Ovis aries: one gene and its partner. The protein of the gene in region 1 purifies or fractionates together with the protein of each later gene. This does not show direct contact. Links are inferred from orthologs where the notes say so. Each region holds a gene or a part of one and is shown in the gene's direction. Other genes may lie near its edges. The genes, in order: SLAMF6 and SH2D1A.

Region 1 (4,518 bases):
ATTTTGGTGAAGGAGAAATACATGCAATCAAGCACATATTTTCCCAGAAGTTTTCTGCTAGTCTGGTGAAACTTTCTGCTTATTGTATTTGTCAATCCAAAATCCTGGATTGACATCAAGGAACAGTTGTCACCAGGAAGGATTTTAGTGTTTTTCTAGATATAAGGAGATACAAGAATTGGGCTCATAAAATTGACTCCTGAAAATATCTGTTAGACTAAACACACTGACTGAAACCACCTACCCTGGCCCGGCACCATAAGAACCATTTGCTTGAGTTATTTTACAACAGGAGGTCTTGGAAAGGAATACAGAACTAGTAAGCCACCACCAACCAAAAGAGTTTGGCAAAGGTCAAAGGAGATGCCATGTGTCCTACCGCCTTCCCAGAATCCTTCTCACTGACTTCCTTCTTGGCTGAGTAATATGTGTGCCACCAGGATGGACCCTGAATCAGAATGATTGGCTAGAAACAACCCAGAAACTCACCCCATCACCATAAAACCCAAGACTGCGAGCCACATGGTGGAGCAGTCCTCTCAGGTCCCCTTCCCCTCCTGCTCTCTGCCTGGGCACCCCTTCCCAATAAAGACTCCTTCTTTGTCAGCACAAGTGTCTCCTCTGACAACACTCATTTCTGAGTGTTAGACAAGAACCCACTTTCAAGCCCTGGAAGGTGTCTCCTTTCTTGCAACCTAACTATTTGAAGACCTGTCCTGCCAGTTTTTCCCAGAGCACAGGGTGCCTCATTGTATTCTCTACCCTGAACTCCTTTAAGGAGCTGTTGAAGATCAGCAGCTGCAGCAACACATGATTTAACCATTGTAAAGGAAGACAGCAAGTGCCCATGGCAAGTGCCAATTTGTAGTTGACATTTGTTTTACCACAATTAAAAAAAAAAAGAATCAAAATAAAAGAAGAAAGGATATAGATAGTAAGAAATGGAGTATTTCCTGCCATAGCAGTAAACAAGAATGTCACAGTCATCAGTGATTCCAATCCTCCAGTGCAACCATGAAAGAGAAGACTACCTGTGGTCCAACAGCTATCACGCTGCCTCCACTCACTTCAAGGAACCAAGGATGTAAAAAAATGCAGGATGCTGGCCCCAGGTAGCTGAGATGCATATGAACAGAATGATTTCAGTAAGCCCAGACTCTTGCATCTTCCATACATAGAAAAGTGCTAAATTCATTAACTTGAGATATTTCATTAAGTAACAATAATCTTTGATGTTCGGACTACCTGCCCCTTGTTGCAAATTTCTATATAGCCTAACTCCTCCCCACCACCTTCTCGGAACACTTCTCTCAGGGTTACTTGAGATGCTGTCTCCCAGGTCTGAAGTCCTAAAAATTTCTGCCAAATAAAACATAACTCTCAACTTTTAAGTTGTAATTATTTTTAAATTTTACAGTAGTGAAGATTCCAGTTCACATCACACATGATTTTTGCACTTAGCTCAGAAAAAAAATAAACAAATTTACAAAATAAAATTGGGACTTTTAGTGAGGGGGAAGAAGGTCTTGCCACGCCTCTGAGAGGAAACAGGCAGCGTTGATCAGAAGCACTTTCAGTTTATGAGTGAATGGCAAGAACGCTGACTATCTTGACGTCTCCAACACCATTCTCCACTGCTAAGAGCATGATCTGGCTGTTCCTGTCTCTCCTGCTTGTCTCCCGCCTTGGCCCAGGTAAATGCTGAAGTATACCCATGTAGTCATTCATGTTTGACTCCTGGTTTTGTGCAGTTTGCGCGATCTAAATCACCTACATTTAGGTGTCTGTCTGTATCTCTACTAAGGGATCCGGTGGGGCTCACAGAGGTGCCTGATAAACTGCCATTGCCTCTCAACTTAAAAGCTTACCACCTGAGATCATTTAGAGTTAACAGCTTCAACTGTGTCTGTATTTAAATGAATTATACGCTGGGGCATGGGAAATGAGCTTTTCTAAGACACGACTGGGGTTTATAGCCAGCATGTTGTGATATAAAGATAGCTAAGGTTAAGAAAAGAAGCCTTCTCACCAGAGTAGCTACTATCTTACTGCGTGATCACAAGTAGGCTACATGTTCTTTCTTAGCCTCATCGAAAATATTGAAAATCTATGGTTCTGCTTAGCTGAAATTTCTGAACCCAACTAAAACACTCAAAATAGTGTTCATGGTTTTTGCGTACTGTGAAAAAACTACTCTCCAGCTTTCCTTTCCTTTGATGCAAATCAGGGACTAGCTAGTCCAGCAATACTTACTCTGCCAGACAGGAATTCTCAGATCCTACATGCTTCTCACTCCCTGCTATCCATTATGTGGAAAACTTGAAGGTTCATGTCAGGTTTTGGGGAAACACGAGTGGTCCAGTGGGGCCAAAGTACAGGAAGGGGTAGGAGACAAGACAAGAAAGCTATCCCAGAACTAGCCCAGGGTAGCAGGTAAAAATAGTTAATATCCATTGTGGGCTTGTATTGTTCCAGGCACTGGGTCAAATGCTACACTTACATCATATACATAAGCTTTCTGACACTTCTAGGAGTCTGTACTATTATTATCCCCTTTTGAAATAACTCTCACAGATTTCATTAGCCAGTAGGTGGCAAGCTCTTGTGATAGTTTTGAGGAACAGTGACCACTGAATCAAAATGGTAGCAGCACAAGAGAGAGGACAGAAGCAAGAATCACCACAGACGTAGAATTAGCTAGATTACCTGGCAATGGGAATGAAGTGGGGAGAGAGTTCATTGTCATCCAATAAACAATCATTGAGCACCTACTGGATGCCCGGCACTATTCTAGTTTCTGAGTGTACACCATGAATGAAGCAGAAAAAAATTTCAGCCCTCACGGGGTTAACATTTTAGCAGAGGAAGCAAACTAAAAACAAAATAAATAAGTGAAACAAATAAGTATATTGGATAGTGATAAATGATAAGGAGGAAATAAATCAAGCAAGGAAAGGAGAGATTAAATATTGGGACAGTGAAATTTCAGACAGAATAGCCAAAAAGTTTACAAAGTTGGGAGGGGGAGGAGGGAGCAGCTGTGATGAGAAGAGGATTTCAATTTTGGACCTACTAATTTTAAGATGTCAGTGTGATATTCATGAGATTTCCTGAAAACAGCTGGAAATTTAGGACTAGAGGTAGAGCTGAGGCTGGAGGCTTGGAACTCACAGCATAGAAATAATAAATAAAGCTAAGGAGAAAATTGTAAGGAGGACAGAAACTTGGGGGATATGTACAAGAGCAGAAAGAGAAAAAAAGTTTACATTCAAGAGCTACTCCCTGGCCCAGGAGCCACGGAGGAAAAGACAAGAGATCCCTGTCTTTGCCTCATTGCAAAATTGAGCTCATCTCTAGAATTCAATATTCTGAATGTCCTCAGGTTAAAATTCCCATTTTTCTCCACATTCCCATTAATATTTCTCATAAGGGGCCCTATGAAATATACACTATTCCTATCGCCACTTTAAGGAAGAAGAATGAAGGCGTACAATGCTTGAGTAACTTGTTTACTGTCACACTGCTGTGGGGGAAGTGAATGGTATAGGAAATGAAACATACTCGAATGTGTGTGCAGGTGTTCTGAGGTCCAGGAAGAAAGCAGTAATTTGCAAGGTTATAATTTAGGGAGACTGGCTCCAGAGTCTATTCATAACCATTTTGCTATGCTGCATAGTTTACAAACAGCTATATATTCACATAAATGTATTTGTAATTATAAACTGTGATACTAAGAAGATAATAAGCAGGGTACTGATGCTGAAAACTCGGCCTCTGTGCATTGGTGCCGAATCAAGTCTCAGACACAGAGTTCTGGGTGAAGTAGAAAAGGATAGTTTTACTGGTTTGCCAGGAAAAGGGAGATACAGCAGGCTTCTGCTCTCAAAAAGCATGTGTCCCAACCTGGGAGGATTTGGTGAGGAGTTTTATAGCAAGGGTAGGATTGCTAATAAGGTTAGGGTGTGTGCAGGGCCTGTACTATTTTAATCTGGTCTCAGATAATCTGATGAGTTTCTGTGGTTCCTTTAATCTGGCCTGAGGTGGTCTTCTAGAAGAGCTTCTCTGCTGCTGCTAAATTGTTTCAGTCGTGTCCGACTCTGTGCGACCCCATAGACAGCAGCCCACCAGGCTCCCCTGTCCCTGGGGTTCTCCAGGCAAGAACACTGGAGTGGGTTGCCATTTCCCTCTCCAATGCATGAAAGGAAAAGTGAAAGTGAAGTGGCTCAGTCATGTCTGACTCTTAGGGACCCCATGGACTCCAGCCTACCAGGCTCCTCCGTCCTTGGGATTTTCCAGGCAAGAGTACTGGAGTGGGTTGCCATTGCCCTCTTGAAGAGCTTCTCTAGTTCCTTTAATCTGGAATGAAGAATGCTGGCATTTTCCATTTGTTGGGAGTGTTAGTTCTATTAGTATAAAGAGCTCAAAAATATTATGCATCCGTTAAGGCAGAACCAGGACCCTGCCCAAGGCTGCACCATTGTTTTTAACTGCTCCTCCCTTGTGTCTGCATCCCTTCCC
Region 2 (4,545 bases), on another chromosome or scaffold:
AAGGAGAGTTACTATGAACTGCCATTTAAATGGTAGAGAGTTGTTTTCAACCCTAGTGGATGGCAAATATCTGGCTTTTGGTGTAAGGCAGCTTTGCAACATCTGATCCATTGGTAGGACTAGTGAGGATTTAAAAATTGTTCTCCCTATTGGGGTCCCAGATGGGCCAGGCTCTCAAGGAACTAGGTGTGACATTGTTGAAGAGACACAACAGACAACATAATTTCAGCTACTTAAATTTTAATTTTAAAAAGTATTTTACAGGGACTTCCCTGGTGGTCCAGTGGTATAAGATTTCACCTTCTGATGTAGGGGGTGTGGGTTTGATGAAGACCCCCTGGAGGAGGGCATGGCAATCTCCTCCGCTGTTCTTGCCTGGAGAATCCCATGGACAGAGGAGCCTGGTGGGCTACAGTCCACAGGGTTGCAAAGAATTGGACACAACTGAAGCGACTTAGCATACATGCATGGGAAGCTAAGATCCCAGATGCCTTGCAGCCAAAAAACCAAAGCATAAAACAGAAGCAATATTATAAAAACTTCCATAAAGACTAAAAATGGTCTACATCAAAAACAATCTAAAAAGAAAAAGAAAAGTATGTTACACACTCAAAAGAAAAAATGTAGAAGAGCATTCAGCTTCAAACATTAAACAAGGTCTCGTTCTAGTGAAAAATGAGGAAGTTTGGGGGAAATATTACTTAACAGCACATCTTGAAATACAAGAGAGAAGGAAACAAAGGTTGAAAGGTTCTAAAAAATTTGATAGCTTAGCATCAATTGAACAAAAACCATATTCTCTACTAACTACAGATGATAAAAGATACAACGCAATTATCAACACTCACAATGGACTTAAGTTTGATGTCCCAAATGCTAAAAGGTAGGCCCTGTATGTCAAAAGGCACAGACAAGTCCGCATGAAGGCAAAACACCAATGAAATGATTTATTCTCTCATCTAAGGCCCATCAAATAGATACATCTGGAACATCTTTGGACACAGACTGATTTTTGTACCTCAACCAGCACTTTGGGATCTTGGACAAGAAGCCTGGAAATGTTTGATTTGTTCAGGATCAAGATTGCTGGAGATGACTAGGAGGAGTCAAAGAGAAGGGGGAGGGTTTGGGGAGGGGAGGCAGTGGATCCCAAGTCCGCTGTTCACTTCTTGCCTCTGATTCCCTAGGAGCCTCCTGCCTGTGCTCAGTGGGGATCACCCACTGACAATACTGATGACCTCTGTGTTTTGGTCTCAGAGCTTTTGGGCCTTTCATTCTCTGTCAGTATGTTTCTGCCCCACATGAAGATCAACACGGCTTCCCTGTCTCATTAACCCCTTTGGGGACTATTTAAGCTAAGTCAGGGTGGCCTTCCTGGGAAAACTACAAGGACAGAAACATTACCAGGCATTCGTGTCTGCATGCATTGGGAGCACAGGCCACATCCTGCAAGGACCTTCTTCCAATAGTCCTCCCCTCTCTGTCCATCCATCCACCCCAACCCTTTTGTGGCAGAGGCGGAGCAGAGAGGGGAGGGGGGAATTGAACCCTAGGGCAGTAGCCAAGCTGCTAAACTGCTGACCTGGTTTTCACTGAAGTGCGAGAAGGAGGCTGTGAGGCAGGTAGACAACATCCTGTTGTTGGGGCGCTCCTTTCTCTTTTTTGAACATCTGGCTGAACAGGGAGGCAGGTGGCTGAGTCGTGCCTGGTTGCGGCGGCAGCAGCAACAGCGGCCTTTCCCTGCTACTGTCCCCTGGCCATGGACGCGGTGGCTGTGTATCATGGCAAGATCAGCCGGGAGACGGGGGAGAAGCTCCTGCTCGCCACGGGCCTGGATGGCAGCTATCTGCTGAGGGACAGCGAGAGTGTTCCCGGCGTGTACTGTCTGTGTGTGCTGTGAGTACATGACGGGGCCCTGGAGCCCCCACTGCCCACCGTGCGGCTCACGTCCCTCACTGGGGTTGTCTCGCCTGGGCTTCCTGCTCTTCAGAGGGTCTTCTCCAGCGCCTTTGGGGGCGGCTGTAGGAATGCTCTTTGCAGTGGAGGAAAAGGAGCCTAGAATTTACCTTTGCTGCCAAAAGGACTCAGGCTCCTGGCTTCAGGTTGGACCTCTGGTAGAGGCCAGCAAGGTGGAGGCCTGGGATGAGGGAATGGCCAGATATAGGGCCACCAGCTCCTCAGAGGAGAGGCCTTTCTCTCCAGCCCTCTGGCAATGGCTTTGAAGGTATCTTCCCAAAGGAAGATTTCAAATTCAAGGAGAGGAAGAAGACTAAGAAATGGAATCCTTTAAGACAGCAATACCAGTTAGGTCAGGATGTGGGAGAGAGGGACGTTTCTGAATAAAACCACCTCTCTGGATTTGCTTAATTAGCTTTCTTTACAGGAGTTGGAGGGGGGTGGGGTGGGGTTTCAGAAATAGGGCCTTTCCGTGATAAACGCTGGGAGAGACAATAGTCGTAAAGGACATGGAGGGAAAGCACCCTGGTATGATTCAGCTTTGCCCTTTACCTAAGCATCTCTTGGTCTAAAGCCCCATTTTGAATCAGATGCACCTTCATCTTTGCTCCAGGGCTCCAGGGTCAGGCAGAGCTAAGACCTAATCTTGTGCTAGTCTGATGCTGGCTTTGGCAAGTTAACCTCACAGTCCCTCAGTTTTCTTGTCCAAAAAGTGTAATATTACTACCTACCTCATAGGACTGAGCATTAAATGCTGTAATGCACGTAGAAAATTTAGCACTGGACCTGATGCATACTAAGTGTTCAGTAAAAGTAAGCTGTTGTTGTTATTATTTTTTCACTCTCTTTCAGTACTTTTTATTATAATATATTATATATATATATAAAATGTATATATATTTCAGTCAATATCTTTAAGTACTCACGGGGTGTTTCTAAGGAAGTCCCTAGCTCAATCACTCTTTGTTAGCAGGGTAAAAACACTCATGAAAGCAGCAGCCCTGTACAGTAGCTTCTAGACAGAAACAAAATGAGGGAAAATGCTTGGTTGTAATTTTGGTGTCTGATGATACATGGCAAGATTTTGAAGTTCCTTTAGGTCATTGATGAGAGATTGTATTGAGCCTGGTGTTAGAGGATTTTCATTGTTTATTGTATTATTTTTAAATGGGCAAGGCATATTTGTGGCAACTCTCAGGCCATGCTAAAAACGTTTGTTATAAAAGCTACAAGGGATATATGTGCAAGCTAGTGAATCCCTTGGGCTCAGATTTTAGGTTTTCCTTATATTATTGTTTCTCGAAAGTGAAAACTGGGGTAGGTCAGTGAAAGCCAACTCGTATTCCTAGGCTCTTTTCTTATCAATAGAAGGTGGAGGAGTGAGTGAACTGGTGAGAGGAGCTTCTTTAGGAAAGCTCACCAAAGGAGGTAATGGGACCCTCAACCTAGAGGTAAAAATTAAGGTACAAAAGGCCTGGGAAGGGAAGGAAGAGCCGGGGACAGTGTGTGGCAGGATGTTCCTAAGACTTCAGACGCACTGGCCTCTTTGTTGTTTCTCGAGCTTGCCAAGCTGCTCCTTGCTTAGGATCTTCACACTTAACTGTTCCTTCTCCCTCTTCTCTCAGAGAGGACTTCCTTGACTAGCCTCTAAAATAAGTCCCTTCTCCCTGTCCCAGTTATAATCTGTCACTTTAGTTTTCTTCTGGGAGCTTTCAGCTGTCTGACGTTTGCTTGTCTACTTTTGTCTTGCTGGGCTCTCCTGCTACAATGTAATCTCTCTGGGGCAGAGACACCATCTCCCGCACCAGGAACACAGCCTGGCATGCAACAGGTATCATGAGGCATGCAACAGGCACTCAATAAATGTTTCTGAATTAATGAATGAACTGTCAAGGCAAATTCTTTATGGCAGTAGGCTTTTGGGCTGATATCAGGAGGCCAGGATGTGGCCTCTGGGACATCACTCAACTTTTGTAGGTCTTGGTTTCCATATTTCTAAAACAAGAATAATAATGTGTGCTCTATCTTCTGCAGAAGATTATAGTTGGTAAAAGATGCAAGAGAGAAGGATAATCTTAGCCTATTACTCAAATTGGCCAGGGCCACGTAAGGAATTAACTTAGACAGATGGGAAATTCGCAGATTAAGTTTTTGTCCAAAGTGAATCTTGCCTAAATGCAGTTTTTATGACTGTAGGTTCTCCATGCAAACCTTTTTATGAAGTAGCAGAAAATAGTCGGCAAATTGGGAGTCCCCCTAACATATCTTTCAGTGGGCACACTGGGCCTCCAAGTCCTAGAGGCTAATGGCCAGACTGCTGCAGAGGGAAGACACAATGATACAGTGCCTTTTATGACAGTTTCTCAGCTTTTTTTTGAGCCAAGGATCCCTTCTGATAAACGTAAACATTTCATTTCCTCTTTTTTAGTACTACACTGTAGTAACAAAATCAAATTTTATTTTGAAATAAACCATATACTCATTTTTAAACCAAAACACGTATAGTTATGATATACAGAAGAAATAACAATGTTGACGGTGACATATATAAATGAACAACAAAGTACAGCTAACAAACATGCATTGACT

Evidence for each region.
Region 2: the proteins of SLAMF6 (region 1) and SH2D1A purify together in Homo sapiens (co-immunoprecipitation; 5 studies listed by BioGRID and IntAct, with this or other methods). This does not show direct contact. The link is inferred for Ovis aries from reciprocal best matches to the Homo sapiens genes SLAMF6 and SH2D1A.

Annotation. Positions count from the first base shown.
Region 1 is NC_056054.1:111,557,325-111,561,842, reverse strand, and holds the start of SLAMF6 (SLAM family member 6), read left to right. Parts: upstream 1-1,575; 5' UTR 1,576-1,588; coding exon 1,589-1,694; intron 1,695-4,518. UniProt on the Homo sapiens protein: Self-ligand receptor of the signaling lymphocytic activation molecule (SLAM) family.
Region 2 is NC_056080.1:108,290,916-108,295,460, forward strand, and holds the start of SH2D1A (SH2 domain-containing protein 1A), read left to right. Parts: upstream 1-1,584; 5' UTR 1,585-1,759; coding exon 1,760-1,896; intron 1,897-4,545.